7 linked regions of the Macaca mulatta genome follow. The protein of the gene in region 6 interacts with the protein of the main gene of each other region in a pairwise test. Links are inferred from orthologs where the notes say so. Each region holds a gene or a part of one and is shown on either strand. Other genes may lie near its edges.

The links.
Region 1: the proteins of CEP44 (region 6) and AQP1 interact in binary tests that used the Homo sapiens proteins (3 or more experiments, as listed by UniProt). The link is inferred for Macaca mulatta from reciprocal best matches to the Homo sapiens genes CEP44 and AQP1.
Region 2: the proteins of CEP44 (region 6) and POP5 interact in binary tests that used the Homo sapiens proteins (3 or more experiments, as listed by UniProt). The two-hybrid records come from large-scale screens. The link is inferred for Macaca mulatta from reciprocal best matches to the Homo sapiens genes CEP44 and POP5.
Region 3: the proteins of CEP44 (region 6) and TXLNA interact in binary tests that used the Homo sapiens proteins (3 or more experiments, as listed by UniProt). The two-hybrid records come from large-scale screens. The link is inferred for Macaca mulatta from reciprocal best matches to the Homo sapiens genes CEP44 and TXLNA.
Region 4: the proteins of CEP44 (region 6) and RNF8 interact in binary tests that used the Homo sapiens proteins (3 or more experiments, as listed by UniProt). The two-hybrid records come from large-scale screens. The link is inferred for Macaca mulatta from reciprocal best matches to the Homo sapiens genes CEP44 and RNF8.
Region 5: the proteins of CEP44 (region 6) and CBY2 interact in binary tests that used the Homo sapiens proteins (3 or more experiments, as listed by UniProt). The two-hybrid records come from large-scale screens. The link is inferred for Macaca mulatta from reciprocal best matches to the Homo sapiens genes CEP44 and CBY2.
Region 7: the proteins of CEP44 (region 6) and H2AP interact in binary tests that used the Homo sapiens proteins (3 or more experiments, as listed by UniProt). The two-hybrid records come from large-scale screens. The link is inferred for Macaca mulatta from reciprocal best matches to the Homo sapiens genes CEP44 and H2AP.

The regions. Positions count from the first base shown.
Region 1 is NC_133408.1:97,464,101-97,468,714, reverse strand, and holds the start of AQP1 (aquaporin-1), read left to right. Parts: upstream 1-1,560; 5' UTR 1,561-1,617; coding exon 1,618-2,001; intron 2,002-4,614. UniProt on the Homo sapiens protein: Forms a water channel that facilitates the transport of water across cell membranes, playing a crucial role in water homeostasis in various tissues.
Region 2 is NC_133416.1:127,902,601-127,907,527, reverse strand, and holds POP5 (ribonuclease P/MRP protein subunit POP5), read left to right. Parts: upstream 1-1,710; 5' UTR 1,711-1,730; coding exon 1,731-1,750; intron 1,751-1,835; coding exon 1,836-1,978; coding exon of another isoform or gene 1,979-2,097; intron 2,098-3,160; coding exon 3,161-3,310; intron 3,311-3,435; coding exon of another isoform or gene 3,436-3,481; coding exon 3,482-3,565; intron 3,566-3,663; coding exon 3,664-3,758; 3' UTR 3,759-4,030; downstream 4,031-4,927. UniProt on the Homo sapiens protein: Component of ribonuclease P, a protein complex that generates mature tRNA molecules by cleaving their 5'-ends. Also a component of the MRP ribonuclease complex, which cleaves pre-rRNA sequences.
Region 3 is NC_133406.1:208,688,359-208,692,530, reverse strand, and holds part of TXLNA (alpha-taxilin), read left to right. Parts: intron 1-822; coding exon 823-942; intron 943-1,173; coding exon 1,174-1,248; intron 1,249-1,727; coding exon 1,728-1,820; intron 1,821-2,493; coding exon 2,494-2,589; intron 2,590-3,337; coding exon 3,338-3,631; 3' UTR 3,632-4,172. UniProt on the Homo sapiens protein: May be involved in intracellular vesicle traffic and potentially in calcium-dependent exocytosis in neuroendocrine cells.
Region 4 is NC_133409.1:144,860,956-144,865,127, reverse strand, and holds part of RNF8 (E3 ubiquitin-protein ligase RNF8), read left to right. Parts: intron 1-1,167; coding exon 1,168-1,257; exon of another isoform or gene 1,258-1,289; intron 1,290-3,462; coding exon 3,463-3,570; intron 3,571-4,172. UniProt on the Homo sapiens protein: E3 ubiquitin-protein ligase that plays a key role in DNA damage signaling via 2 distinct roles: by mediating the 'Lys-63'-linked ubiquitination of histones H2A and H2AX and promoting the recruitment of DNA repair proteins at double-strand breaks (DSBs) sites, and by catalyzing 'Lys-48'-linked ubiquitination to remove target proteins from DNA damage sites.
Region 5 is NC_133422.1:24,969,542-24,974,394, reverse strand, and holds the start of CBY2 (protein chibby homolog 2), read right to left. Parts: upstream 2,974-4,853; coding exon 2,863-2,973; intron 1-2,862.
Region 6 is NC_133410.1:182,747,314-182,751,485, forward strand, and holds part of CEP44 (centrosomal protein of 44 kDa), read left to right. Parts: intron 1-1,391; coding exon 1,392-1,598; intron 1,599-2,333; coding exon 2,334-2,409; intron 2,410-4,172. UniProt on the Homo sapiens protein: Centriole-enriched microtubule-binding protein involved in centriole biogenesis. In collaboration with CEP295 and POC1B, is required for the centriole-to-centrosome conversion by ensuring the formation of bona fide centriole wall.
Region 7 is NC_133426.1:37,817,611-37,821,310, forward strand, and holds H2AP (huntingtin-interacting protein M), read left to right. Parts: upstream 1-1,486; 5' UTR 1,487-2,257; coding exon 2,258-2,611; 3' UTR 2,612-2,790; downstream 2,791-3,700.

The sequences.
Region 1 (4,614 bases), on a different chromosome or scaffold from region 6:
GACAAGAGGCATAAGACCCACTCATCCTTATCCTGCCCCAGGCACACTTAGAACTCAGAGAAGTCCTCTCACCAGGCCTATAAATGGGAAGATGCCAACACTCCCGAGTAGGACGGTGGTGGGGCAGGCAGAAGGTGGGAGGAGAGCCCAGATCATCCCAGGCCCTCCCTAGGGGATGCAGGGGGACCCTCCCTCCTGGGCCTGGCTCTTCCAGCACGTTCCATGCAGCAGGCAAGTGGGCCAGGCCCAGGGATTCCTGACAGCTTGCTGGCCCCAGAGTCCGGATTCTTTTTGTTTGTTGGCTGGCGCTGGGCCTCTGGATTGGAGATGCCCAGGGCGCAGGGGGCCCGCGGGGGTCCGTAGCAGGGCCTCGGCCCCTCCCTTTGCAGGGGCTCGTCTGGCCCCTACTGGTCTCTCCTTCTCCTCATTTATCTCTCCCTTTCTACTTCTTGGCTCTGGGTCCAGTCCTATCTCCCTGTTTCGGTTTGTCTTTTCCTAGCCCTCTGCGCTCTCTCTGTCTCTCTTGGCCCTGCTTGTCTCACTGTCTCTGGTTGGGGGTCTGTCTCTTTCGCTTCCACTTTTGCTCTATTTCCTGGCTACTGTCTTTCCTTTCTCCTTGTCTGTCTCTTCTCCTCCCCTCAGCCTGCATCTCTGTCTCTCCCTTTCTCTCCTGCTCCCTCCCTCCCTCCTCTCCATCACCTTCCAATGCCAGGTGGGGCTGCCGTTCCTTCCACCTTCCCAGTGACCCACCAGTGTGACTGCCTTGAGAGGAAAGTCCTAAACTGTCCCATCTTCACCAACCTGCCCACAAATCATTGGTTCAAATTGCTCTGGAGAAGTTTGGGAGCTCCCAGGGTAGCGGCTTTCTAACAGCTCTGCCTAGCTCAGGCCTGTCCCCAACCACAGCGTGGAGGGCAGCCACAGACAACCTCTCTGCACCTTCTGATGCCTCCGTGCCCCATCCACAGAGGCCTGGCTCGGGGAGACTGGGGACTCTGGGACATCCCTAACATGGCATGCAGTGGCCGTGTGGGAGGCCCTGACTGCCCCTCTGGAGCCCTGGGCCCAGGGACTCCAGACCAGTGCCTCTCTGGATTGGGATGGGGATGTCAGGCCAGCAGGATCATGGTGCCTGCCTCCAGGGAGGGCAACGTCCACCCACTGAGTCCAGCCCGCCCACCCCGCCCACCCCGCCCACTCTGGAGCACCTGGCTGTGTCCTCAGGAACCCCCTGAGCTTTGCACACAGGGCGGAGACACCTGGATTTCTCTGGTCCCGTGAGTGGGGCCAGCTTGGAAGAATTTCCCAAAGCCTATTAGAGCGACGGCTGCCTCCTGCCTGCCTCCTTGGGCTGGGCAGGGCTGAGGGCGGAGGGAGAGAGAGAGGGAGGGGGAGAGGAGGAAGGAAAAAGTTGGCAGGCGGACAGCAGAGCCGTGTCTGCATCCATCCAGAGGAGGTCCGTGCGGTGTGGGGCGGGCCAGGAGTGAAGAGAGGCCTTCCTCCCTTTGTGCTCCCCCCGCCCCCCGGCCCTATAAATAGGCCCAGCCCAGGCTGTGGCTCAGCTCTCAGAGGGAGTTGAGCACCCGGCAGCGGTCTCAGGCCAAGCCCCCTGCCAGCATGGCCAGCGAGTTCAAGAAGAAGCTCTTCTGGAGGGCAGTGGTGGCCGAGTTCCTGGCCACGACCCTCTTTGTCTTCATCAGCATTGGCTCTGCCCTGGGCTTCAAATACCCGGTGGGGAACAACCAGACGGTGGTCCAGGACAATGTGAAGGTGTCGCTGGCCTTCGGACTGAGCATCGCCACGCTGGCACAGAGCGTGGGTCACATCAGTGGCGCCCACCTCAACCCGGCTGTCACGCTGGGGCTGCTGCTCAGCTGCCAGATCAGCATCTTCCGTGCCCTCATGTACATCATCGCCCAGTGCGTGGGGGCCATCGTCGCCGCCGCCATCCTCTCGGGCATCACCTCCTCCCTGCCTGGGAACTCGCTCGGCCGCAATGATGTGAGTGGGGTGTCCCCGAGCTTGGGGGGTTCTAGAATGATGCTGAAAGGCACCAGTTCCATCCTCTGCCCATCGTGCAGATGCGGACACTGAGGAATGGAGAGGACAAGAGGTTGCTGGAGGTCACATAGAGAGCCGGGGGGGAGAGCTGGGGCTGGAACTCAGTTATGCATGCCTCCCAGAGCCTGTTTTCTGCCAGGCACTGTGGGAAGCTGAGATCAAGAGAATAATGGTCTTGCCAATGTCCCCTGCAGGGCATCTATTATGGGGAATAAGCTTGGCCAGCAGCTCCTCGCCCCTTGGCTGTAGCTTTTTGGCCCTTCTCAGTCCTGCCTGTGCCACCAACTCCCTCCTCCCCCAGCCCTGCACCCTGGGGAAACTTCGCCCGCTTTCCCCAGCCACCCTGAACCAGATGCCCAGCCTGTCTGCAGCTGGTTCTGCAGGTGTGTGAACAGGACTCCCTCAGGGAGCCCCCCATGTTCACACAGGTTTCCAAACAAACCACCTCTAGGAATCCAGAGAAAGGCCGTCTTCCACTCTTCCGCCCCTGGGAATTAGACAAAGATAAGGCAGTGAAAACTCTTTCTGGGGCTGTTTGAAGGCAGTTTTCCTGGATTACAGTATGGGCTGGGGGGCAAGTGCTGGGCTCCATGGTCTCCAGGCACTGAGAGGTGTGGCGTGTGTGTGTGTGTGGGTGGGTGTGCGCGCATGTGCGTGTGTGCATGTACGTGTGCGTGTGTGTGTGTGAAGGTGTGTATGTGTGCATGCGTCTGCCAGCATGAGTCTCTGTGCTTGTGTAAACTGTGTGCATGTTTGTGCTGCTGTGTTAGGGTGTGTGGGGGTGAGTTTGCAACCACACGTGCCCATGGCTCCCGGCTTGAATGGGGTCTGGACTGGGGTCACTAATGACAAGCAGATGCTGGTGACTGGGTGGCAGCTGTGGAAAAGAATGTCTCCTGGGCTGCTTAGCATGGCAAAGTGGCCGCTGGTGGCAGCCGCCTGCTGTCCCAGACCTGGCCTTTCCCAGCTCCTCAGACAAGTGCAAACTCAGGCTGGGCTTGGGCAACAGCAGGGGGAGATTTGGCCTGAGAGACTGAGGAAGGCTTGGAGGATGTCTGAGGGCCCAAGGGACAGGTGAGCAGGCTTTGGGGTGCCCTCACAGGGAGGGAGAGGTTAAGGAGCAGAGAGGAGGACTTGTCTGGAGAGATGAGGCTGGCAGGGCTGTAGGCAGGGCAGGTGGGTGTGGGGACTGTGTGGGTCATCTCGGAGGGCGCCTCAGAGATGGCAGTAGTGATTACAGCAGCTGTCCTCTCGCTTCTCAGTCAAAGTTCAGATCCTGCAGCTGACAGCCTGGGGGAGGCTAGGTGAAGGTCTGGTGCAGAGGGCAGCTGGCTCAGCCCAGCCACGGGGGGCTTAGCGCTTTTGTGTCACGGTGACACCTCACCCAGCCTCCTCTGCAGCCAACCTCTGCTTGGCCCAAGATTGAAGATTACCTCCATGGGCTGGAGTTTAGACTTTAGCCAGTTTAGACGTGGCTGCGGGGTATGTACGGGACAGAGTTCAGGCAGGCCATGTCAAGCTCTGCCCCCAGGCCTCAGTTTCCAGTGGGGGCAGAGCTTGTGGCCTCGGGGAGTTCCACTGGGTAGGGTCAAGCTCACACTGAAGCTTGGCTGGGTATGCTGGGCTGGGGAAGCGTCCCTGTAGGGGAGGGGATGTGATTCCTAGACTTTCTGACCCCATATCGTCCCTCCCATCTCACAGGGCAGAACCTCTGCACATGCTGGCAGAGGCTTCACACTCTAGTATGTGCATCCGAGCCAGAGGCGGGAGGGCGGGCCCCTTCTGTGCCATCTGGATCAGAGGCCACACCCGACTCCTGTGCCCCATTCCCTCCCTGGCCTTCATTTTTTATAGTCACCCCAATACTTGGGCTGGGCGTGTTGCAAATGGGAGAGAAAGAGGAGCAGCCTAGTGTGGGAGCCGGCCCTGGGCTGGGAGGCAGACACCTGGGTTCAAGACCTGTCTGCTGCTAACTTATTGAGCTTTATTGGAGCTGTGGACCCTGACCCTCGAGAGGGGACTTAAGTGTTGTGACCTCACAGCCACACCCAGACAGCCAGCTCACTTCATTGCTTTGAGCTTATCACGCATCCCACAAAGGCTGGCTAAGAGCAGCCCAGCAGGGGCAGTGCTGAACATAAGGGTGCTAAGCATGATGGTGGGGGCTCAGGCACTGCCCTGTCCCGACAGTGGAAGGGTGGGGGTCAGAAGCTCAACTCTGGGCCTAGAAATAGAGAAGGTACCCCCCTAAAGGCTCCCGTCAGACACTGGCCCTGGAACTGGAGGGGTCTCAGGCGTGGCCTGGATGCCTCAAGAGGAGCAGGGAACCGTCTGAGCAGCAGGTGACACACTGTCCTTCATGACCTGGGGGAGGCTCCTGCAGCCTCTCTGGCCCTGAGCCCCACCCCGGCCAAAACCTGGGTGGGGCAAGTGGTTGGCATGGAGATTTCCAAGGAAAACAGAGAAAGAAGTGGCAGGAAGTGGTTGCAGTGAGTCAGGGGGTGTCCCTTCGGGACATGTTGGGGACAACTTTCTCCTGACTGAGTCAGGGCT
Region 2 (4,927 bases), on a different chromosome or scaffold from region 6:
ATCATGTTGAGCAAAAGAAGGCAAACACAAAAGAAAACATGCTGGAGGACATTTATATAAAATTTAAGAACAGGCAAAACTAATCTAGCAGGGTAGAAATGGTAATAGTGGCAGTAAGGGAGTTTGACTGGAAGAGGGATCAGGGAACCTTCTGGGATACTGGAAGTGCTCTTTAATCTTGGAGGTGGTTATAGAAGTCTACGCATATGTAAAAATTCATTGAGATGTACACTTAAGAATATGTATTTTGGCCGGGCGCGGTGGCTCAAGCCTGTAATCCCAGCACTTTGGGAGGCCGAGACGGGCGGATCACGAAGTCAGGAGATCGAGACCATCCTGGCTAACACAGTGAAACCCCGTCTCTACTAAAAATACAAAAACTTAGCCGGGCGAGGTGGCGGGCGCCTGTAGTCCCAGCTACTCGGGAGGCTGAGGCAGGAGAATGGCGTAAACCCGGGAGGCGGAGCTTGCAGTGAGCTGAGATCCGGCCACTGCAGTCCAGCCTGGGTGACAGAGCGAGACTCCGTCTCAAAAAAAAAAAAAAAAAAAAAAAGAATATGTATTTTATGTAATACCACATAAGACTTTTTTAAAAAAATACTTAAAAAGAAAATAAAAGAAAAAACATAATTTAACAGAGGGCATAGTTCTCAAACTGTTTTCTCTGTCTCAGGACCCCTTTACACACGTTACTGAGGATCCCCAAGAGCTTTTAGTTTTGTGGGTTATATTTACTATGGACATTAAAGTTGAGAAATGTTTAAAAAAAATACACAATTCCATTAGCTGTTAGAGCAGTGATATCATCACGTCAAGCAGCCTCTGGAAAACTTGACTGTTCACTCTGAGAGAATGAAAAAGACAAGTAACATCTTAGTATTATTATGAAAGTAATTTTGGCTTCGGGGACTCCTAAACCGAGTGAGTTTAGGAAATCTCAGGGGTCCCCAGACGACACTTTGAGAACCGCTGGCCCAGGGGGAAAATGACAGAAGAAAACACACTACACGACAACAGTTATTCTCTCTCAGTGCTGGGATTATAATTTATTTGCTTCTTTGTGCTTTTCTGTTAAAAAAAAAAAAATAAAAAGGAAAGGAAAACAGAAATGGAAAATACAATGACCACGTATTGTTTCTGCGAACAAAAAATGAGACAGCACACTCGCCTCCCTAAGATTTTTGAAAGGCCCAAACAGCAATAGCACATTTAGCTGCATGGAAGAATTAAACTGAGCTCAAACCTGAAAATAAGAGTCCGATTTCCCGTTTGTCAATCCCTGGGCTGTGAAGTGCAGGGTCTTGCCCTCAAAAACTCCACGGTTCACCTTGGGGAGAGAATGTACTCGCATACATACCTGTGCTGCAAGGTTCCCAGGGCCCCAAGGGCAGCGGTTGCATCCTACACAGTATTGTAAACTCCGGTGTGCAGCAAAACCACCCATCGCAGCTGCAAGCCGCTCCAAACCGCTCCCAGCCGCTCCAAGCCGAAGTTCAGCCCTCAAACTAGTCAGAGACCCTCCGCAGGACGCATGCGCGCTTACAAACGCAGAGTTAGGTGGGGCTTGAGGGAGACTGACACAGAGTTCGGCCTCTCAACTTTCTAGCTCCGCCCGCATGTCCTGTCTCCTTCTCTGAATGGCTGAAAGGCTGCGGAAGTAAGCTTCCCACGGGCCGCGGACGGAACCCACATCCGGTTTGCACAGCGATCCCGACGGCGCGGAGGCAGCTATGGTGCGGTTCAAGCACAGGTAAGCATTCCCTTCCAGACCCACCCAGCGCCTTGCCAGGTCCCCGCGGCGCCGCTAGCGCCCACCTTCCTCTCGCCTGCCGCAGGTACCTGCTCTGCGAATTGGTGTCTGACGACCCCCGCTGCCGCCTAAGCCTCGATGACCGAGTTCTGAGCAGCCTCGTACGGGACACTATCGCCAGGGTGCACGGGACTTTCGGCGCAGCCGCCTGCTCCATCGGCTTCGCGGGTGCGAGAGCGTTGGGGGAAGAGGGGAACCCGGGAGGATGGCGGGACGTGGAGGGGGCAGGCGCCGGAGGAAGAAAGAAGGGGCACGAGTGGCCAAGCCCGTGCATCGTTTTTTGTAAGGTATCTCTTTAAGCGCCGGGGACCGCAAGCGAGAGATCCACACGAGTCCGAAATTAGCAGAGAGCTAAAAGGAGGGGCCCGAAGGCAGTGGGTCTTTGAGCTAGAGGCCTCTTTTTGCCTGCTTGACAGGTAATTTCTGTAATTGGTTGTGATTGAATTTGATAGGATAGAGAATTAAATGAGGGAAGCTGTATCTAGTTCCTAGTAAGAGCTATTATGACCGATTACATTAACATCACATGGAAAAAAATTGTCGAAAGTATCCTTGGGAATGCCCTTAGTTGGTAAAGTACAGAACACATGATCGTCAATATATGTGAATACAGGATGAGCCGGGACAAAGAGGGGCCCGGGGCCCTTCTTCCACACCATTTATATTAGTTCCCCCTTTTACCTTGCTTGAGGATTGACTTCTGGAGAGTTAAATGCAGATAGGCTTAACTCATCCTTAAGTCAGGTGAGACTCAGCTGACTGCTACAAGAATTACAGAGCCCAACTGCAGTAAAACAGCCTATTTTTCAGGCGAGGGTTTTTCCTAAATTAAAATGGATCGCCCTCCTACCTGCTCCTATTTATTGAATTAACTAGTGAATTAGAAAGCATGTTAGATTCTAAATTCATTCACCAGTTCTGAGTGGTGTGCAACACAGTGGGTGTTTTGGCTTTTCTCTTTTACTCGCTGAAAGATCCTACGTGCCACTTGTGCTCTGTTACTCTAAAGTTTTTTTGTTTTTTTTTTTTTTTTTGAGACAGTCTTCTGTTGCCCAGGCTGCTGGAGTGCAGCAGGGAGATCACAGGTCACTGCTGCCCCCACCTCCTGGGTTCAGGCGATTCTCATGACTCAGTCTCCTGAGTGGCTGGAATTACATGCGTGCACCACCACGCCCGGCTAATTTTTGTATTTTTAGTAGAGACGGGTTTTCATCATGTTGGCCAGGCTGGCCTCGAACTCCTGACGTAAAGTGATCTGCCCGCCTCAGCCTCCCAAAGTGCTGGGATTACAGGTGTGAGCCACCACACACAGCAAAATTTTCCGAAATGATTTTTTTTTCCCTGTTGTAGTTCGATACCTCAATGCCTATACTGGAATAGTGCTACTTCGATGCAGAAAAGAGTTCTATCAGCTTGTGTGGTCAGCTCTTCCCTTCATCACATACCTGGAGAACAAAGGACACCGTTACCCATGCTTTTTCAACACGTTACATGTGGGAGGTAGGAGTGACGTGATACGGCTACTGATTTTCAATAGGTGACATGTTCAGAGTTCAGTCTAGACTGGTGGGTGGGTCTTCCTGCTGTCCCGCTAACAAGACACTTCCCCTACCTCTGAAAGTAAGGTCGAGACCTTTCACAAGCTGTTGACCGCAGTAACTCACATGCCAGGTACAATAAGAACATGTCAGAAGTTCCTAATTCAGTACAACAGGAGACAGCTGTTGATCTTGTTGCAGAACTGCACTGATGAAGGTAAGCAATACTAGCCCAGTGCCCGCTGAGCAGTGACTGACCTCGAGCTGAAGAAATCACTCCCAAAGACATCTTTCATCCCTATCTGCCTTCTCCAGGAGAGCGGGAAGCTATCCAGAAGTCTGTGACAAGAAGCTGCTTACTAGAGGAGGAGGAAGAGTCAGGTGAGGAGGCTGCAGAAGCAATGGAGTGACCCTCTGCTCACCACACAGCAGGCTACACTGCTCAGGCTTCGGGCCCACTTGTTGAACAGAACAATCTGGGTAGCAACAGCATCTTCTACAGTTTTCCAAGCTGGATAGCTGCCAACCAGCGGACATGTTACCCACTTGAAATAGAGTACTCAGTTAAACTGAAGTTGCCTTTACCTAGCATTCCCTGGTTAAGTGTTGCAGGTTGTGAACTCTATGTAGACATCTTTATTGCTTGGCTAAGAGTAGATTTAATAAATGTATTTGGTTTCCGTGGCATTTAGTATACTTATGTTACAAAAAGGGCTTATGGAGTCCATGCTTGGCTAAGTCTCTGTTCTCTATCCCTAGCCTTGGTGGGAAGAGTGACTCCCTGTGTGGTACTAAACTTTTTTATTGAGACAGTCTCACTCTGTCACCCAGGCTGGAGTGTACTGGCCCAATCTCGGCTCACTGCAACCTCCACCTCCCGGGTTCAAGCAATTCTCCCACCTCAGCCTTCCAAGTAGCTGGGATTACAGACGTGCACCACCACACCTGGCTAATTTTTGTATTTTTAGTAGAGACAGGGTTTTGCCATGTTGGCCAGGCTGCTGTTGAACTCCTGGCCTCAAGTGATTGGCCTGCCTTGGCCTCCCAAAGTGCTGGGATTAAAGGCGTGAGCCACTGTGCCTGGCCTAAATTTTCAATACTTAGCCTTCTACCTGAAGCTGTGTACCCCCGGCCCCAAGATGGGCCCTAAGCAAGACAAGTCATTTGGAATAGAAATATTAGCTGAGACACAGCAAATGAACTGGCAGAGATCTATAGTCCGTCTCAGTACTGAACCACAGGGTCTTATAGATACCAGATTCCTTGCCAACAGTTAATCAGGTAACTGCAAAAATGCAACTTTGGGCCGGGCGCGGTGGCTCATGCCTGTAATCCCAGCACTTTGGGAGGCTGAGGCAGGCGGATCACGAGGTCAGGAGATCAAGACCATCCTGCCTAACACGGTGACACCCTGTCTCCACTACAAACACAAAAAATTAGCCGGGCATGGTGGCAGGTGCCTGTAATCCCAGCTACTCAGGAGGCTGAGGCAGGAGAATGGCATGAACCCAGGAGGCGGAGCTTGCAGTGAGCTGAGATTGCGCCACTGCACTCCAGCCTGGGTGACACAGGGAGACTC
Region 3 (4,172 bases), on a different chromosome or scaffold from region 6:
ATAGAGGCTTCCTGGGCCACTATAGTGAGACACGAACTTCAAGAATCTGAATACCCCCGTTTTCTCTCCCCACCAAGGCAGAAAAGGATTTAGTATTACCTGTGGAGAAGGAGTTGCAGGACTACCAGGCCCTGCTGCTTTGCATTTACAGCCCTCCCCAGATAGACACAAGCACTCTCATCATACCCAAACTGGACTTACCTGCAAGGCTCCTTCCCTTCCCCATCCAAAAAAATGGAGTTATTTTCCCTTATTTCAGCAAGTCCAGTTGATTTTACCTTTGAAGTAGCACCTGAATCCTTCACCTTCTCTCCATCCCTTCTCTCTCACCTGACATAAGTCCCCAGTGCTCCTCCAGTAGGCAGGACAGCCATTCCTTGGGGATGCACATGTCTAGTCTTTGCCTAGATATAGCAAGTCTTTGCCTACTGAGCTAGGCTGTCATGTTCTTAGAAGCATTGTTTTTGCCCATTCTTCCCATTTACAAGAGAATCAGGGACACAGAAGTGAGGGCTTCCAACCCCATAGGTGATCAATCCTGGGGTCAGAGATTTGAGTGTGTTTATTGCTTGGCTTCTTGGGAGCAGATTCCATCCATAAACCATGTACTTACCAAAGTCTGACTCACTGGGAGAGAAACGAGGTGAGCTTGGAAAGATGACCTTCCAGAGACTTGGGGCCCATGTTGTGTGGTACACATGGGAGTCCAGCATATCAGATTGAGATGGGGGGCTGGGCAAAGTGCCCTGGTCTTTGGCTGTGGGGCCACCCTGAGAAAAGGAGCTCCTGACAAGCTGACGGCTCCCACCATCTTTGCTGCAGCATATCGACAAAGTCTTCAAACACAAGGACCTACAACAGCAGCTGGTGGATGCCAAGCTCCAGCAGGCCCAGGAGATGCTAAAGGAGGCAGAAGAGCGGCACCAACGGGAGAAGGATTTTGTGAGGCTTAGGCCCAAGGGTTGGGATGGGGGTGTGGGAGGAGGCAGGTTGGGCTGTGGCTCAGTTCATAGCCGGGTTATATGGGAGAAGTTGTCTGGCCAGACCAGGCACAGATTCCTTGAGTATCAGTCTGAGAGCAGGAAACCTTGGTGGGTTTGGTGCTTGTGGCTAAAAACCAAACATAGCCCCTGGGGGCTTCTGACAGGATCTGGGGTTCTGTCTTGGAAATAGCTCCTGAAAGAGGCAGTAGAGTCCCAGAGGATGTGTGAGCTGATGAAGCAGCAAGAGACCCACCTGAAGCAACAGGTGAGAGCATATAACCTGACCCTGTGCCTTCAAGGTCCCCTCACTGGGCCCCATCCTGGGGGTAGTGAAATGGGACCCTCATTCTAGGACTGGCTGTGTCCTGGCTGCTATGAGACCTTGGTTGAGCCTTTGTTCTCTCTGGACCTGCACAGTACCTATATGGTGGTGACCAGGTAGTTAGGTGGGCTCAGAGGATTTCATTTGTAGCTCAGAAATGTTGTATTGCTTTTGAGGAGGTGGGAACAAAAGAGTTTGAAAATCAACATAAAGGCAAAATAAAAGTCACCCTAAGTCTCCTACTTTCCAGGCTTAGCATTTTGGATTATATCCTTCCAAATACATAGCTTTGCTTTGTTTTAAGGAAAAATAGTATCTCAATAGAATTACTGGGTCAGAGGGTCAAGGACAGGTCTGAGTGTGTTGACCAGAGTGCCTCCCAGAGAAACCCAATCTTATCTGTGGGCTGCTTTCTCCCCCAGCTTGCCTTATACACAGAGAAGTTTGAGGAGTTCCAGAACACACTTTCCAAAAGCAGCGAGGTGTTCACCACATTCAAGCAGGAGATGGAAAAGGTAACTGTGGTCCAGGCCACGCATGGCTCCTGGAGCATAAGCTGCTTCATTCAAAATGGTTGGGCCTGCCTTCAGGAAGCTCCCATCTGGGGTGTCTCAAGGGTGGGGCTGTTAGGAGAGTTCACAGCCTTTCCCCTCTCGAGGCAGTATCAGTGGTGTGTATACCCTCCAGGTTGTCCCGGGGAATGGGGCAGCCATTTCTTTTGTTTGTTTGTTTGTTTTGAGATGGAGTCTCGCCCTGTTTCACTGGCTGGAGTGCAGTGGCACGATCTCAGCTCATTGCAGCCTTTGTGCCCCGTGTTAAAGTGATTCTCCTGCCTCAGCCTCCTGAGTAGCTGGAATTACAGGCACGTGCCACCATGCCTGGCCTTTTTTTTTTTTTTTTTTTTTTTTTTTTTTGGTATTTTTAGTAGAGACAGGGTTTCACCATGTTGGCCAGGGTGGTCTTGAACTCTTGGCCTCAAGTGATCCACCCACCCTGGCCTCCCAAAGTGCTGGGATTCTGGCCCCTTACCATTTCTTGTTGTTAGTGGTGGACACTTGTGACTTCTGGTGGTAAGGTGGCACAGAGGGCATTGACTGCACCCTGTAATCAGTCAGTCCCCACCTTGGAGACACAGGTGCACAGAGAGGCCGGCTCTGACCATTTCCTTCTGTCTGTCACATAACCTAGATGACTAAGAAGATCAAGAAGCTGGAGAAAGAAACCACGATGTACCGGTCCCGGTGGGAGAGCAGCAACAAGGCCCTCCTTGAGATGGCTGAGGAGGTGGGCTGTCTGTGATCTGCAGCCAGGGTGGGGGTGTGCACTTAGCGCATATCAGGCCCTTTCCTGTGTGTTCTACCCATCAGTGACACAGCTAGCATGAGGTAGAGGTGAGATTTGCACACATTGTCCAAGTCCAAAGTTAATGCTGTTCTCTCCCCATGGGAGATGGTGAGCCCAGTGGTAGGTCTCCAGTGGGAGTGAAGGGAGCAAATGGAAGAAAGGAATAAAAGAGCAGAAAAAACAGGGGTGCCAGTGATGTGCCTGGTTTACATGTAAAGCAGCCCAGGTAATTTGTGATTTCATGGCTTCTAATGTAGAAGAAAGGAACTAACACTGATGGAGCAGCAACGACAAGCCAGACCTTGCTGAATGTTTTTGGGTTTGTCTTTTTTTTTTTTTGCTGCTGAATGTTTTTAGGTACGTGGTTCATTGAACCTTCTCTTGAGATCCGAGGATGGTATTAGTAGTCCTGTTTTACAGATGAGACAGGCTCAAAAGCCAAGTCCTTTGCCAAGGTCATGTGGTAGATAAATGGAGGAATATGTTATGTCCAAGCCGAGCCCCTTTTCTGCACCACACTGCCCCACCTGACAGTCTAGTCATGGCTTCAACCAGGACTGTTTCCTAGAGGGGGCCAGCTTCGGACTCAGTCTGCTCCCAGCCTTGTTAAAAGTGTTTGTCACCAAGTAGTGATGGTAAGTGGGAGGTTGATGGGGCATGGCACTGAAGGTCTCATTTCTCTCCCTAGAAAACAGTCCGGGATAAAGAACTGGAGGGCCTGCAGGTAAAAATCCAACGGCTGGAGAAGCTGTGCCGGGCGCTGCAGACAGAGCGCAATGACCTGAACAAGAGGGTACAGGACCTGAGTGCTGGTGGCCAGGGCTCCCTCACTGACAGTGGCCCTGAAAGGAGGCCAGAGGGGCCTGGGGCTCAAGCACCCAGCTCCCCCAGGGTCACAGAAGCACCTTGCTACCCAGGAGCACCGAGCACAGAAGCATCAGGCCAGACTGGGCCTCAAGAGCCCACCTCTGCCAGAGCCTAGAGAGCCTGGTGCTGGGGCATGCTGGGAAGGGAGCAGCAGCCCAGCCAGGCCTGGCCCATAAAAAGCTCCCATGCTGAGCAGCCCATTGCTGAAGCCAGGATGTTCTGACCTGGCTGGCATCTGACACTTGCAATTTTGGATTTTGTGGGTCAGTTTTACGTACATATGGCATATTGCAAGGCCTAATGCATTTATACCTATAAGTGTACAGTGGGCTTGCATTGGGGATAGGGGTGTGTACAGATGAAGTCAGTGGCTCCTCTGTCAGCTGAAGAGTCTTGAGAGGGGCTGTCATCTGTAGCTGCCATCACAGTGAGTTGGCAGGACAAGTGACTTGAGCATTTCTCTGCCTGACTTGAGGCTCAGACCCCTCCTTGCCCTTCAGAGCTCAAGACAAGTGATACACCCAGGTCTTGACTGCATTTCTCTTGTGAGTAGGGCTTGCTTGGGCAGCTCAGGCCCTCCGAGCTGCTCTGGAGGCTCCTTTGATTCTCTGGACCTGGAAAAGGTGTCCCTAGGCAGAGACCTGGCAGGGCGCTCA
Region 4 (4,172 bases), on a different chromosome or scaffold from region 6:
GGCTGGAGTGCAGCAGTGCAATCTCAGCTCACTACAGTCTCCACCTCCTGGGCTCAAGTGATCCTCCCACTGCAGCCTCCTGAGTAACTGGAACCATAGGCACGTGCCAGCATTCCCGACAAATTTTTTGTGTTTTTGGTAGAGATGGAGTTTCACAATGTTGCCCAGGCTGGTCTCAAACTCCTGAGCTCAAGTGATCCACTCAGCATAGCCTCCCAAAGTGCTGGGATTACAGGTATTATGAGCCACCATGCCCGGCCGTATTTTCCCATTTTATAGATGAGAAGGTTAAAATGCACATCTCGAATTAGTGAGTCAAGTTGAAGACCCAGGCCTTCTGATATAACTGCTTTTTTTTTTTTGTCATGAGATCACACATTTTAAAATTTGGTTCTTGAATAATATCTTTTCAAAAATACTTACCTTTACTCCAGCTTCTTTTTTAAAAGAATTTGAGGTGAGATTCTAAAGTATAAGCTATACTTAAGCATGGGAGTGCTCATAAATTATGTTTCATGTATGTGGAACCTCTTGACATTCAGCATAGGCATTTAGCCACAGTGAATGAGCTGTTAGTTCCTGGGTGTGCCTTCTTCCAGAAGACACTGGCAGGGTTCAGGCAGCATTATCTTATGAGCATGTAGTGTGTGATTTGTAGAATAAATAGGTTAAAGATCTTTTTTATTTCAATAAAAATGACTATTTAATTCCGCTGATTCCCATTTCCTCCTGATTATTTCATAAAAGCAGCTTCCAGTTCTGAATAGCTTGTAATTACTTACTAGTTCTTAAATACTGTTCCCAGAATCACTTGGGTGGCTTAAAAAAAAAAAAAAAAGCACATTTCTGGGCTCCAAGCCAAACCTATAGAAGCAGACTCTGGGACGCATGAAAGTTCTTCAGTTGACATGGATGTCCACCAATGATGGGTTAGTTTTAGAGGCCCCAGTACATTTGGTGGCCTCCTTCCCTAACTGCCCTCTCCTCTGAAAAAAGCAGCAGGTGGGTAACATAGCCCAATGGAATAAAGGTATTATTTTGAAATTGCCATTTTATCGATCCCTGAACCAAAGTCACTAACTAGAGGAAGAGAACAGGCATGTTTGTGGCTAAAAGGAAGGATGCATTGTAGTTCATCCTGAGTATGTATCTGCTATGTTTTTGCAGCATTGGGCTCTAATGGAAGAGCTAAATCGCAGCAAGAAGGACTTTGAAGCAATCATTCAAGCCAAGAACAAAGAATTAGAGCAGACCAAGGTACTGGAAAGAAGATGGAAGTTTAGAATTTGGTTAGTGCATGCAACTCAGCATTTTCAACAGTGTAAGGGTTGCTATGGAGAATGAAGAGAGAAATCATGGCTGCTCCTTGCCTCTGGGGAAATAATCTATAAGATTATAGAGGTCTATAGAAGATTCTGCCTGTCAGACAACATCTATTTCCTTCCCTTGTTCAGAAGCAAAATGCTAGGAATAAGGCACTTGCATCCTGCATTCTAGTCCTTTGTCTATGGTGGGTACTCCTTCAGGGTGTGTCACTGATACAGACTGAGGAATATTGTAGTCAAGAAATAGTTCCTCCTGAACTATGTAATTTGAATTACATAAAGTAAAGTGAATTACTTAATGCAATTCCTTCCTGTGTCAAATCAGGAGAACTCTTGAATTAGGGGTTATAAACTTAAATGCCCACCAGGGCCAGACTGGTAATCTAAGTGAGTGAAGTGGCCTGAATGTGAGAACACAGTAGGGAGCTGTGTGGGCTATGGTTCATTGGATGGGGTATTTGCCCACACCCCCATCCCAGGAGGCAACTCTTCTCTGCTCAGCCAATTGTTGCCGTCCAGAAGTGCAGGCCCAGTGTTGTCAGATCTTCTGATTTTTCCACAGCAGATGAAAGTCCAAATGTTTAAGTGAAATATCCCAAAGTTTAAATATTGGCAACAACTTCAGCTTTTTGTGTGTGTTTTCTTTAATGTGAAGGCCAAATTAAACAAGTCTGCAGGGTGGATCCAGTCCACAGGCCACCAATTTGCAACCTCTGACCTGACATTAATACCTGAGTCTGACTGCATCTCTCATCCCACCCCCTCCATGTACAGACCTAGAGCTGAAGGAGGGACTTTAGTTGGTTTGATTTCCTGTTTAAATCACATAATACCTTCCTCTTCAACCTCCAAGAAACTACCACATCTTTTTAAACCCAGTGATTCCTAAGTTCTCAGGGAATTTGACTATAGTTAAGGGGGTCCAGACTTTCTTCACTGCCCTGAGCAGTCTGCCAGTCTGCTTTGAGTGGAAAAGAAAACAAAAAGATGAAAAATGAGCCGGCCACTCAAATATACCTCAAATGGCCTATCCTGTCCCCCTCAGGGGCTCTTAATGCTTTCTGTTTTGGGGGTGAAGTGCTAAAATAAATGTCTGCTTCAAGAGAGCATACCTAGGATCCTCCTTAAAAAGCGTGTTCACCCGCAGTCTGACCTCTTGGGGAAAGCCGAGGAGATGGTACTGCAGGCCTCTGCAGGCGTGGGAAGTGGCAGGTATCATAGAGCATGGAGCCTGAAGGTAATTCAAGAGGCCTTTCTCCAGCCTTCTGCCTCCAGAGGTGTGCCTTACTTTATAGAAAAGGCAGCTGCAAAGAACACTTTAACTTTATAACTAATTCAAGTTTCCTGCCTCTCTGGACTATTCATGCGTCTTTTCTTGTCCAGTGAGTTTTTCATTATTTGGGATGATCTTATGTAACGTCCGAACTACGGCTTGCTATAAACTACTTAATGTCCCATCTGGTCTTGGGTGGTTGGTGTGGTTAGTATACCACCTGCATTTTTCTCATTTGACTAATTTTGGGGAAGGAGACAGAAACTGCAATGCAAATACTGAAAAAGTGGTGTTTTAGTCCATTCAGGCTACTACAAAAAAGACCCATAAACTGCATAGCTTACAAACAACAGAAATTTATTTCTCACAGTACTGGAGGTTGGGAAATCCAAGATCAAGATACTGGCATATTTGGTGTCTGGTGAGGGCTATCTTCTGTTTCATAGATAGAGTCTTGCTGTGTCCCTACATGGTAGAAGGGGCACATGAGCTCTCCTTGGGCCCCTTTTATAAAGGCCACTAACCCGATTTATGAGCATGGAGCCCTCATGACCTAGTCACCTCCCAAAGGCCCCACCTCTTAATACCATCACATTTGAAAATAAGTGTCAACATGGGAATTTGGGAGGAAGCACAAACATTCACACCATAGCAAGTAGGGAGAGGAAAGAAAGAAGGTTAGTGCTCTGCATTAGAAAACAATTATTAACAATAACCCTTAGGGAAAGTGTTCTTAATGTTGCTATACCAGAATGAATCATTCATTAAGACTGAATCCTCTTCTAAATAATTAACCCTGCTCCCTGTCCCCTTTTGCATTTTTGTTGGTTATCTGAATGACAGGTAGGATTGTGTGTCTTGCAGGAAGAGAAGGAGAAGGTGCAAGCACAGAAGGAAGAAGTTCTCAGCCACATGAATGATGTGCTAGAGAATGAGCTCCAATGTATTATTTGTTCAGAATACTTCATTGAGGTAATGAAGTTGCTCACCCCTTCTTTTTTTTTTTTTTTTTTTTTTTTTTTTTGAGAGAGTCTTACTCTGTCACCCAGGCTGGAGTGCAGTGCTGCGATCTTGGCTCACTGCAACCCCCACTTCCCGGGCTCAAGCAGTTCTTGTGCCTCAGCCTCCTGAGTAGCTGGGATTACAGGCACATGCCACCACGCCTGGCTAAATTTTAGTATTTTTAGTAGACATGGGGTTTTGCCATGTTGGCCAGGCTGGTCTCGAATTCCTGACCTCAGGTGATCTGCCCACCTCGGCCTCCCAAAGTGCTGGGATTACAGGTGTGAGTCACCACACCTGGCTGACCCCTTCTTATTCTCCCAACCCTGAATGGAGCCTGGGCTGTACAGGCTGCTTCTACTATAGGGGAACATTCTGAAGAGATTTTCTTCCAGGAACTTATAACTATTTGATTTCAAAGTGACCCCTAGAGATGACCATTTCTCATTTGTTTTTATAATCTTCTTTCCCTTCACTGTCCTTTTTTGGCATTTCATCTGTTCTTAAATGTTTATTTGGTATGATTAACATTTTTAGCTGCAGTGAAGCCTTTATCTCTTTGTTGTTGAGGG
Region 5 (4,853 bases), on a different chromosome or scaffold from region 6:
AGGCAGTATTTTTATTAGAAAAGTTTCCGGGGGTAGATTCCGAGATTAGTAGGTGATTGGTAGATGGAAATGGGAGATATGGAAAGTCCCAAAGAGTAAGAAATCAGTAACTAACAGAAATTTTTGAGTTTCGGGATAGCAGATAAGAAAAGAAATTTAAGCTGCTGAAACTCCCTCCACTTGCGAGATCTAGAAAAACCTGGCGGAAATTGGTTGGAACCAAAATGGCTGACTGGAGCTTGCACACAATAAGCTTGCTGATGTCGTAGGCTGAATTTCCACCACATGTTTTGTACTAATTCCCCCTGAATTTGCACATGCAACTCAGGAGTTAACATGAAGAAATAACTGTGCATGCCCAAGGACTTTCCAGACCTCCCTTTTCCTTGTACCAATCACCTGCTAATCTCAGAATCCACCCCCTGAACCTTTTCTAATAAAAATACTGCTTTAATGCCAGCACAGAGAGACAAATTTGAGCTTGACTCCTGCCTCCTTCAGAGGTGACTTTTAATATAAAGCTTTTCTTTTTTTCAAAAACTTGGTGTCAGTATTGGCTTCTAGCATATTGGGCAGTGAGCCCCTTTTGCTTGATAACAAACTAGAACCCCAGGTGAGACGAACAGCCTGTTCAAGGTACTGTTGCCCCTAGTGGTGTGCAGGCCCCCTGCACTGATCCTGAGTAGCCACCTAGACCAGTGCGTTCAGAGGCTCAACTATAGGGTTCCTGCTTCTCTACCATGGCACTTCAGGTTCCCTTGGCACTTTTCCTTTGGGAAAAGAAATTGCTTCTGGATTAGACATCTTTCTGGTGAGTACCTTGTTAATACATACCTGTACTTTTAATTGTCTTTGAACTCATCATAAGGACTGTGGGTTCAGGTCCCACCCTGTGGTTTAGGATTATGGATGAGAGTCCCACCCTTGTCTAGGACTGTGGGTTTGAGTCCTACCCAAGGGGGATTCTGGTCAGGTTAGAGTCCCAAATCTGGTGTATGTTCAAGTCACAAAGAATTAAGGCAATAGTAAAAAGCTGCAGCCACTGAGATAATCTAGTCTGGTTCTGATTTTTGTTGATCTGTCTGTATTTTTGGTCTGTGTATCAATGTTTGGCTTAACAAAGGTTAAAGACTGTGATGGCTCCAGCAGAAGCCTTATGAGAGCTCCAGAGTAGTTTATCCGCACACTCAATTAGAACAAAGCAACTCCATAAACTAGAAAACCTGAAGAAAAATGGCACATGGAAAAAATGTCAGTCAAACCCTCTTTCTTCTTCTGCCCCTAAAGAGTTGTCATGTAGTCTTCTAAGTTATTTGCCTGTCTTTTCTTCTTGACTACTTTGAATCTGCTGACTTTTTTACTAGTGTTGAGATAAAACTTACTGTTCATGGTATTACTAGTTTAAGGTTACTGGCTAAAGAAAAAAAAAATGAAAGAGGTCTTTTAAAATCAAAGTGCCATGGAAACTGCTTTGCTCATCAGGGCAAATAAAGTTGAGCTATGTGAACAGGTTCTAATTTTATCAGGAAAATAAGTTTGATCCAACTGTCTCGTTTACGCATATACATGCATTATGTTATGTGTTGTTTCTATATGGTATCAAATGAGCTTATAAATAAAAGAGTACTGATACATTAAATAAATAAGCCCAAAAGCTTTTCAAGTTCATGTGACTTTAATAATCTTTGGAAAATAAAACCAATTTAAAATTATTGATAAAATAAAAATAGATATGTCTTCAGAATTGTCAGCATGTGATTTTGCCTGTGTTTACTGGTCAGCTGACATGTGCATCTGCTAGTTATTTTAAGATGTCCAGGTTTGGCACAAAAGTCACGAAATTATAAACCTAGCCAAAACAGAATAATCTTTGTTTACGTGATTCTTTTGATAAATAAGACTAATATTGTTGGTTTAATGACAACAATGAAATCCTCTGATTTATCAGCAAAATATCCATGTATTTCACTTCAAAGTTCTTACTTAGGTGAACACCTGATATTCACAAGCTGTGAAATGGTTAACAAGGAAAAAACTTAAAATGATGACCAGCTTTGTCTAATATCTCTGTTCTCATAACTAATCTAGATAAACTGTTAAAAACAAATAAATTAGATAAACGTAATAAATGAAATTCTTATGTTTTTGAAAATCTTGAAGTTATCATACTTACTGAGCAGCTGGGTCACTTCCAATTAAGAAAATGTATAAGGAAATGTTTCTAAAGGTTAAAAAATGGTTTTAAAATACATAAATTATAATATTTTATCTATAAAATACTGATATATGACAGACAATTCAAGAGTTCTTACCTCCTAGGTTCTTCCCTAAAATAAGGATTACTAAGAGTTAATATTGTGACTTATATATGTAATTGAAACTACTAGATACAAGAGAAACAATTCTATATGCAAAATGTATAAGAAAAATAGGATGTGTTTTTGGTAAACACATAAGAAGACAGGAATATGGTTTTCATTTAAGGGCAAGTAATTTTGCCTAGTTTAGAGGTTCTAAAGGATTGTTTTAAATTGAAGGAATAAAAAAATTATAGATAAAACTAAATAAATATAGAAAGTTAAAGAATGAAAATATAACAAATTGGAAGAGGTTATAAAAGGTTTACGGAAATCTTATCTTGCAGTCAAAACTAACTGAGATTGAATAGATTTGTTTATAAGGTCTTATTAAAATTAGCTGTAATATTAAAAATGCACTAACACAAAACTAAAAATTTTGGTTAAAGCCACAAAATTTTTTGAAGTATTGATTTGCTCTCAATGATATTGCAAGAAATATTGACTTTAAATTCTAAAATTAAAATGTCAGATTTATATCTCAGAAGTTCAACTTTTCCTGTACCTTGTTACATATAAGTTGCAGATCACATTCATTATCTTCTGTTTTTTTCCCCTTGAAAAAAACATATCTTTTTGCTTGGCTGGTCTGATAACTCTTCTTCAACTTTTTCATGAACTCCTACAATTTTTTACCCCAGCCCTAATGCTGTTCTTATGGCATAATGCTAACATATTTATCTTAAAGTTTAGAAAAGCAATGTTTTCCTCAAATGTAATATAATCTTATACTCTTGGCTTTATGATATGTCTGAATTATTTTGTATAACCAGGAAACCGCCCATGTAACTTTCTGTTACTTACTTTTGAGGTCCTTTGACTGTCATGCTAGTTAAATGAATAACTATTATTTTAAAATGACCTGTAGTTCGTTTTGATCAAATGTTCTGAATCTTTTAACATCTTTGGTAGGATTTATCTGGTAAAGTTGTATGGGAGACATTATCAAATGCTAAATAATACTGGATCTTCTTTTGGTTATGTTTATGGGTGCGCTATTGATATAAATGTACTAAAAATTACATACGTTTATAAAAGTCTCACATGCTATGAGTCGTAATTTTGATATGTTAAATCTTTTTAAAAGTTATATTTGTGTAGATACATTATTAGTAGAAATATTCTTAAGATTATATTATTATAAAAATCAGATGGTCCTGATGTGATGCTGTCAGTCATGGTTCTGGTTGTTATCTTAAAATGCTACATATAATAGAAATAACTACATTTTCCTGACAATTGACAACTTTTATCAGGTTTTAGCCATGGCTAAGTTTTTGTAATCCACAGTTATTGTTTTGAATTCTTCTCTAAAAAGCTTTCCAATCAGCTACAACCCAAATTACTTTTCATGCAAAGGACTCTGATCAGTACTCTTAAACACAGATTTCTGATAACTTTGGAGATAATGCCATCAGACTAGGAAAAGTCTTCCAGGGCTCTGATTAAAAAGTTGCATGAGAATTGCTAACCCAACATCAAACAGAACAAGAATTAGCTACATGGGACTGAACTGATAGAGGAATAAAAAGATCTTTTATGACATTTTTATTTGAAACATTGATGATCTCTTATGTTTTGTTTTCCTGAGTCAAGAAAACATTTTCCTTTTGAACCGTTTTTAACTTACAACACATTAGATAAAATATACCTTTGTGAACAAAACTTTGAGGCATTTACCTTTCTCTCTGCTCTCTCCAGAACTTGGAAGCTGTTTGTGAGTATTCTCAGTTTATGGCAATATATTATTTGCATTAGTTTTCAATAAAAAACTATTTTCTTTGGTAATAGAACACAATTGGAGACACTGGTTATTTTACTAAGGCTTTGACTGGAATGACATGTTTTTAGGTATGACCAGAATGGAGGTTAACTTTAGAGCACCAATAAAAAAAGCCTCTTAAAAAGACTGGCCTGGTAGCTGGTCTGTAAGGTTCCTTTACAAAGTTTCTGTCCTCGCAGTAAGTAAAAAATGTCACTTTCTGATAGGTCCAGCAACCTATTTTGGGACCCTGAGAAAAGAGGAATAACACATCCATTCATCTAGGTATTACAGGCACAATCTGACGGCAAATCCTTGGGTTGACTGATCTCAAGGCTTTTAAAAGTCAGAAATTCCTTATTTTAAAAGGTCCAGCAAAGCCCATTCGAAAACAAAAGCCTATATGGTGAATCATTATTCTTGCTGTACTTTATGCAAATAATCAGGTCAGGTATAATGAGACTAGAACTTATTTTACATACAAATTGATCCTACAGTGATTTGTCTTTGGTAAAAACGGGGGACTGGAGAGAGAGAAATTATGTTCAAAAGAAAACGATAACACACCTGTCTGACCAGTGGGCCAAAGCTTTAACTTCTATAATTTGTCAGGGACCCTCTGTGCACCTCCTGGATATACTTTTTTTTTCAGTGTGTCAACCACCCACGGGCTTATGAACGTGCTGACAGCTGGTGCATGAGAGGCATTTGTCTGTTAGGTTATCTAGCTACTC
Region 6 (4,172 bases):
TATGCAGCTAACAGACACATGAAAAAATGCTCATCATCACTGGCCATCAGAGAAATGCAAATCAAAACCACAATGAGATACCATCTCACACCAGTTAGGATGGCAGTCATTAAAAAGTCAGGAAACAACAGGTGCTGGAGAGGATGTGGAGAAATAGGAACTCTTTTACATTGTTGGTGGGACTGTAAACTAGTTCAACCATTGTGAAAGACAGTGTGGCGATTCCTCAAGGATCTAGTACTAGAAATACCATTTGACCCAGCCATGCCGTTACTGGGTAAATACCCAAAGGATTATAAATCATGCTACTATAAAGACGCATGCTCACATATGTTTATTTTGGCACTATTCACAATAGCAAAGACTTGGAACCAACCCAAATGTCCATCAGTGACAGACTGGATTAAGAAAATGTGGCACATATACACCATGAAATACTATACAGCCATAAAAAAAGATGAGCTCATGTTCTTTGTAGGGACATGGATGAAGCTGGAAATCATCATTCTCAGCAAACTATCAGCAGGACAAAAACCGAACACCGAATGTTCTCACTCATAGGTGGGAATTGAACAATGAGAACACTTGGACACAGGAAGGGGAACATCACACACCGGGGCCTGTCATGGGGTGGGGGTAGCGGGGAGGGATAGCATTAGGAGATATACTTAATGTAAATGAGGAGTTAATGAGTACAGCACACCAACATGACACATGGATACATATGTAACAAACCTTCACATTGTGCACAGGTACCCTAGAACTTAAAGTGTAATAATAATAATAATAATAATAATAATAATAATAAACATTTCTATTACTCTTAATTGCCACAGACACCAATATGTCTGATGTCTATTGTTTCTGCTAAAACTTCTTTTTCTATGTTTCTATGTTTTGTGACTTCTATATATCTCAGTATATCAATATACAGTTGGCACTTACAAAAACTACCAGATGGCCATTGGACGTACTTCCTGTTACATGGCAAACCCAATAATCTCAGTGCACTAAGTGTTGTTTTTAGTCATTTCCTCTTAGCTTTGTGCTAGGTGTTGTTTCAAGAAGCTAGTTAATAATAGTTTTATTTTACTAGCTGGTATCAAAAGAATCATGCAAATTAACTCATTATCAGAAGAATCATATGAAGTAGATACTTCTTTTATCTCTCTCTCTTTTTTTTTTTTAATGAGGAAATGGAGGCATCAAGATCATAAGTCTCAGGACTAGTTTAAGTGGCCAAGTAGTCTCCCTCCAGAGATAAACCTTTTAACTCTCAAGCAGGACCGTCTCTCCTAACTATTGAGATAACACTGTGGAAGTGGGAAACATCAATTTTAAAGAAATTTTAGTTTGTTTAATTTTATTTTTAATCTCTCTAATCTTTTTAGGATATAAATGTTAATCCTGAGATTACTGCACTACAGACTATGCTTGCTGAATGCCAAGAAAAGCTTAAGGAGCTGACTTTGATAGAGAAAAGGTTAGACTGTTTAGAACAAAAAATGAAAGGAAATGTGATGGTAGATGAAAACACCTGGACTAATCTGCTCAGTCGTGTCACTCTTCTTGAAACAGAAATGCTTTTGTCTAAAAAGGTATTTTCTTCTTTTAACATTTATAAAATATCTCAGATATAACAAAGTAATTTTTTGATTGTTGTATGTGTATTTTTTTGGAAATGCTAAATATGAGAATATTTGAATAATGAGAAAATGTCTAGTTAGAATGAAGTCCTGTTTAAATATAGCCTGAATGGTGTTGTGGCTGTTGTTTCTCTCTTCATTGAATAAGATGATCTGAAAAACTTGTAAGTTGAGCTTTTACAGATGTTAATGATGCTTGAAGAACTTAAAATGAGGTAAGAGTATGATAGATATTATGAAAAGCTTAGAATTATTTTGTATCTTTTAATAGTACAAATGACCTATTTTCGTAGGGTGGAAAAGATACAGAAGATATTGATAACTCTTCCTGTCTTTTTTTCACTCATTTACTTCAATCATTGTGAATTTCATAGAATAGTTACCAAATTTATCATTGCCTTATCAAATCTGAGAAATTTGTTTCTTTTACTCAGGATTTCGATTTCTGGTCTGTCTTTCCTTCCTAAAAAGTGAAGTTGATAGATTCAAGAAGCTTGCTATCTGCTTCCATATTTAAAACATTTCTTATATGTAGGAATATACAGTATATGCATTGCTTTAATACAAAATTAAAAATATTTAAACATTTATCATGCTACCTTTATATTTTATGCTCAGTAGTAAGAATATAAAATGAGAGGGTTTTTCTTTTTATTTCATTCTGAATATTTAACTGTGTTATTCCAGAATGATGAATATGTAGAGTTTAATGAAATTAATGAAGACTGCGCTTCTTGTAGCAACATGGACCTTCTGAATCCTCGTAAGTTTGTAAACATTATGAGAATTGGTATGATGAGTTTTCAGAAAAATGATTGTTATAGGTATTTGGTAATTTTAATATTCTTAAGCTTCATTGTTTAGAAATTGCAAAGCTCCTAGAACAAAGAAAATAATGAACCTATAGACTACTAAAGCCAAGAATTGCTTATGAAGCCAGCCTACTTATTTTACATAACACAGTGGGTAAATAAATTTCAGTGTACAAAATTGAAACTGTTTAGAGATATTTTACTGTTTTAATCATTCTAGAATAATCAAGTGTTCTAGAATTTTAAAATTGACCTCCAAGTTTTTAAATTTAAGCTTAGGTAGGTAGTAGCTTTCTCATATGTAAATAATAATATGTAAGAGAAGAAAACACATTTGTCAGTAACCTATAAAGTATTGCAAACCTCTTCCATGTGAATGGTTCACTGATAATGATAAAATGGGAAAGATCTGATATTAGAACAGGTCTTTTCCTGGTCACATAACTTTACTAGGCTAATGATATTTTGCTCAGTGTGACTGAGCAGCAAGGATAAGATTTCTGTTTTGCAGTGACAGCTTTGTTTTTTTTGATTCTTACATTTTTTTAAAAGACAGATCTAAATTTTGTGCCGTGTCTATGATTAAATCATATCCATAGAAGAGATGTTTTGTCCAATTGAGAATTCATCAAGTTAAATTTTTAATATCTGGATCGTTAACATAAAATCTTTCAGCTTTACTATATGTGTAACAATAAAATAACAATATATATTCTAGCACTAACAGTGTGCCTGGCACTATTCTAACTACTATATTAACTCATTTAATTCCTGAAGTAACCATGCAAGATAAGTACTATTTTTATATTTTACAGTTGAGGAAACTGAAGTACACAAAATTAAGTAACTATGACAAAGGTCACACAGTTATTGAATGGTAGATCAAATTTGAATCCAGGCAACTGATCTGAAGTTTTTTCTTAACCACTGCATATTTGGAACACATATCAATATCATTGCACAAAGAACAATTTCAGTGATTAGGTTATTAAATATAATTATTTGAGATGCTATTTAAGGCAACTAAATTTATTATAGACTGCAGATTTCAGATTTGGTAAAATGTTGCCTGTTTTATTTATCCATTCATATATCTATTCAACAAATGTTAACACTTGAGTATAAGATCCTTGAGAGCAAAAACTTTATCTTATGGTCTGCCTGTCTAGCACACAGAAAGTGTATCTGTGCTTTTATCACCAGTATTTGCATATAGTGGAGTTTAAATATTTATTCACTGAAAAAATATTGAATGCTTGTGATTTGCAAAACATTGCCTTTTGCAAGTTTGATTTTGCATGCTCAGGCCTATTTTTTTTTAATGACATGATTATAGAATATACCTTTAACCTATTTAGAAAACACATGGCTAGGTTTTTTTTGAGATAAGGGTGGTCTTACTCTGTTGCTCAGGCTGGAGTGCAGTGGTGCAATCATAGCTTACTGCAGTCTCCTAGACATTAACTCTTTGGCCTAAAGTGATCCTCCTGCCTCAGCCTCCTGAGTGGCTGGGACTACAGGCACGTGCCTCTACACCTGGATAATTTTTATTTATTTATTTATTGTTTTTAGTAAAACGAGGTCTTGCTATGTTGCTCAGGCTGGTCTTGAACTCCTGGGCTCAAGCAATCCTCCTGTCTCTGCTTCTCAAAGTACCGGGATTACAGGTGTGAGTTACCATGTCCAGGCTCACATAGCTAAATTTCAGCAACTG
Region 7 (3,700 bases), on a different chromosome or scaffold from region 6:
TTTTGAAGAGATATGGGGTGTGCTTCTCAGAATAAGCAAGGGATTGTCTATGAAGGATCTTGAAGAAACCTCTTGTCTAATCACATGAATCCCCATGACATACATAAAAGACCTATAAGTTTTTGAGAATGTTATATCAGCAGAAACAATGCCAGCTTAGACGGAAAGGGACAAATAGAGGAAGAAATGAAAGAAGGCCATAGGACTCCCAAAATTTGACAGGAGAAAGCAGGCTGATAAAACTACTCAGCTGTAAACATATGCTACCATTCAAAATAAAGGAACAATGACTGAGGGCAGAACCTAGAGGCCAGAGGGCAGATTTATGACCCCAGGTGAAGTCATAGGATCAGAGTGATCAAAGGGAGGAGTCTTAAGTCATAGAATATTCCCAGGCCTTGAAACCTAATGGTTGGATTTTGAAATTGTTTGGATTTAAGACTCTTTTGTTCTTTCTACTTTTTCCCCTATGGAATGGCAAAGTTATTGGCTGTAAATGAACCAAAGTCAAAGGGAAAACACAGAATTACTAGAAAGGAAAATTAAATAATAGAAAAGAAACATCTCTTAGTGCTTTTGCTTCACCTAGGAGAGACAAGAAATATACATCTGGGCTTAAACTGAGCACAAGATGCACTTCTCCGAGACGGGCGGATCACAAGGTCAGGAGATCGAGACCATCCTGGCGAACACGGTGAAACCCCATCTCTACTAAAAAGTACAAAAAAAAAAAAAAAACTAGCCGGGCGAGGTGGCGGGCGCCTGTAGTCCCAGCTACTCGGGAGGCTGAGGCAGGAGAATGGCGTGAACCCAGGAGGCGGAGCTTGCAGTGAGCCGAGATCTGGCCACTGCACTCCAGCCTACGCAACAGAGCGAGACTCCGTCTCAAAAAAAAAAAAAAAAAAAAAAAAAAAAAAAAAAAAAGATGCACTTCCCTATCAACTGTTTACCTGACACTGACAGGTAAACTTATTGAGCATCTTATTATTAATTGAAAAATGATTAAAATATATTTTTCAACCATTATGGAAAACAGTATGGCAATTCCTCAAGGATCTAGAACTAGAAATACCATTTGACTCAGCCATCCCATTACTGGGGATATACCCAAAGGATTATAAATCATGCTGCTATAAAGACACATACACATGTATGTTTATTGCAGCACTATTCACAATAGCAAAGACTTGGAATCAACCCAAATGTCCATCAGTGACAGACTGGATTAAGAAAATGTGGCACATATACACCATGGAATACTATGAAGCCATAAAAAAGGATGAGTTCGTGTCCTTTGTAGGCACATGGATGCAGCTGGAAACCATCATTCTCAGCAAACTATCGCAAGAACAGAAAACCAAACACTGCATGTTCTCACTCATAGGTGGGAATTGAAGAATGAGATCACTTGGACACAGGAAGGGGAACATCACACACTGGGGTCTATTGTGGGGAGGGGGGAGGGGGGCGGGATAGCATTAGGAGATATACCTAATGTAAATGACGAGTTAATGGGTGCAGCACACCAACATGGCACATGTATACATATGTAACAAACCTGCACATTGTGCACATGTACCCTAGAACTTAAAGTATAATAATAAAAAATAAAAATAAAAAAATAAATAAAATGCATTTTTCAAATAGGGTAAAATCATGACACTCATACAGATACGAAATGAACACATGCTACAAGAAAAAGATGTTATGACTGCTTCAAAAGGGAAACCAAAGAGTCGATATGGGAATATTCATCAGTAATATTAAATGATTGTGCACATGGAGGCAAAACTGGTTTCATAAGGTGAAGACAACTGAACCTCTACTAAAGAATATACTGTACACGTATCAGCCACCTACAACTAACAAAAGGCTATAAAAGACTTCACAGATAATGTAAGGCTAGAATCAGATAACCTGCAGTGGTGTCCTAAAGATAGAGCAAAGTTTTCCATTGAAACACACTTTTATTTTTATAATGTCAAAATCAGGTAAAGAGTTATAGTTCCCTCAAAATCAGGGTTCAGTCATTAGGGTGACTAGATCAGTGTCACAGACATTTCTAAGCTGAGGTCTGATCAGGGACCAGTGGACACCAGTGAAATCACAAAGCCTAGGGATGTCACAAAGGCAGCTAGCTCCCTGACCAATCAGGGCCTGGAGCAGAGGGATCCAATAGGCAGCACCAGCGTCCTCAGAGACTTACTTGAGCTGGAGAATCAAGCAGAGCTGATCAGAGCCAAACCCAGCAAATATCATGTCAGAGAAAAATAACCGTAAGAACTCCTCTGCAAATAACAACCAGATTCAAGACCGGTCTAGAAATGAGCTGCGGGTCCCTATGAGCTTCGTGGACCGAGTTGTGCAAGATGAACAAGATGCCCAAAGCCAGAGTTCCTCCACAATAAATATCCTCCTTACCCTGCTCGATTGCCTTGCTGACTACATCATGGAGCAGGTAGGCTTGGAGGCCATCAACAATGGCAGGATGCGCAACACTTCACAAGATGGGGAGAGAGAAGGGGACAACCACCATGAGCCCCACCGCACTGAGAGTGATGGAACCCGCTTTGTGTTTGATGAGATGCCCAAATCCGGAAAGAATGACTGAAGACTGGGTCCCAGAGCCTTGAGGGGATCCTCACAGGCTTAGCCAGGGCAAAAATGTGTCACAGCTGAGGAATATCTGCTGTTGTCATCAACAAGTGCTACTAAAGGATGTAAATCCATGAGTATGTTTCTGACTCCTTCCAGTTTCCGTCTTTTTGGGTTGTAGGTGTCTGTGAGACATCAAGGAGAAGCTATCCCCAGAGAGCTGAAGTTGGGGGGGGGGGCGGGAAGTGGTGGCCAGTGTGGAGTGTTTGAATCAGTGATTTAGAGGGGGCAGTTTCCAACGGTGACAGAGAGGGCACGGGCCCTGTGGGGAGGAACTGGCTGGGATAAAGACACCGAGACTTCCTAATTGCCTCTGAACAGGAAGGCCTTGTGAGGCCGGGGAGTTGGCTGGGGGCCTCTGAGGCTTGCTGAATTCCCAGCCTGATGCTGGGGCCTGGGGTGGAGCTGCAGACTCTGACTGAAGTGCAGGAGGCAGAGGGTGGTGGCCACAGGGGCGGGTGGAGAGGGGGCACACTGGCTGGCATGAAGTTCATGGGATAGGGACTTTACATGGAGATTGAGAGTGAAGGAGAAACCATGATGAAAAATGCAAAAAAGAAATGATGGCCTGCTGGATTTCATTTCTTATTTCTTTATGCCCTGACTTATTATGAAAGAGGATTTGAGACAGGGATTAGTAGCTAGTGCTGTGAATATATCTTTCTGTCCTCTCTTCAGGACACTGGTAAAATAAATCATAATAATACATAAAATTTATGATCTGGCCTAAGATGGGCAATTCAAGAAGTTCTTAATGGTTGTTAATTATTAATGAATCAGCTTAATTATATATGTATTTCATTTAAAACACAATTAACAATTTCATTTTTAAATTAAATACCTATTCATTATAATTACTATATATTGCATAGAGCACCAAAGAATTATTAGTGACTCAATACATGTTTTAAGAGGTATAGAAATAGTTCTGTCCCAAGTGACGGCCTCTAAAGCATGTGCAATCCTTTTCAAAACTTCCTGCTCTGTGCTAAGTTTAAAAGAGGTGTCACATCAAACGTTGTAGCAATCTGTCCCCTTGCCTGTG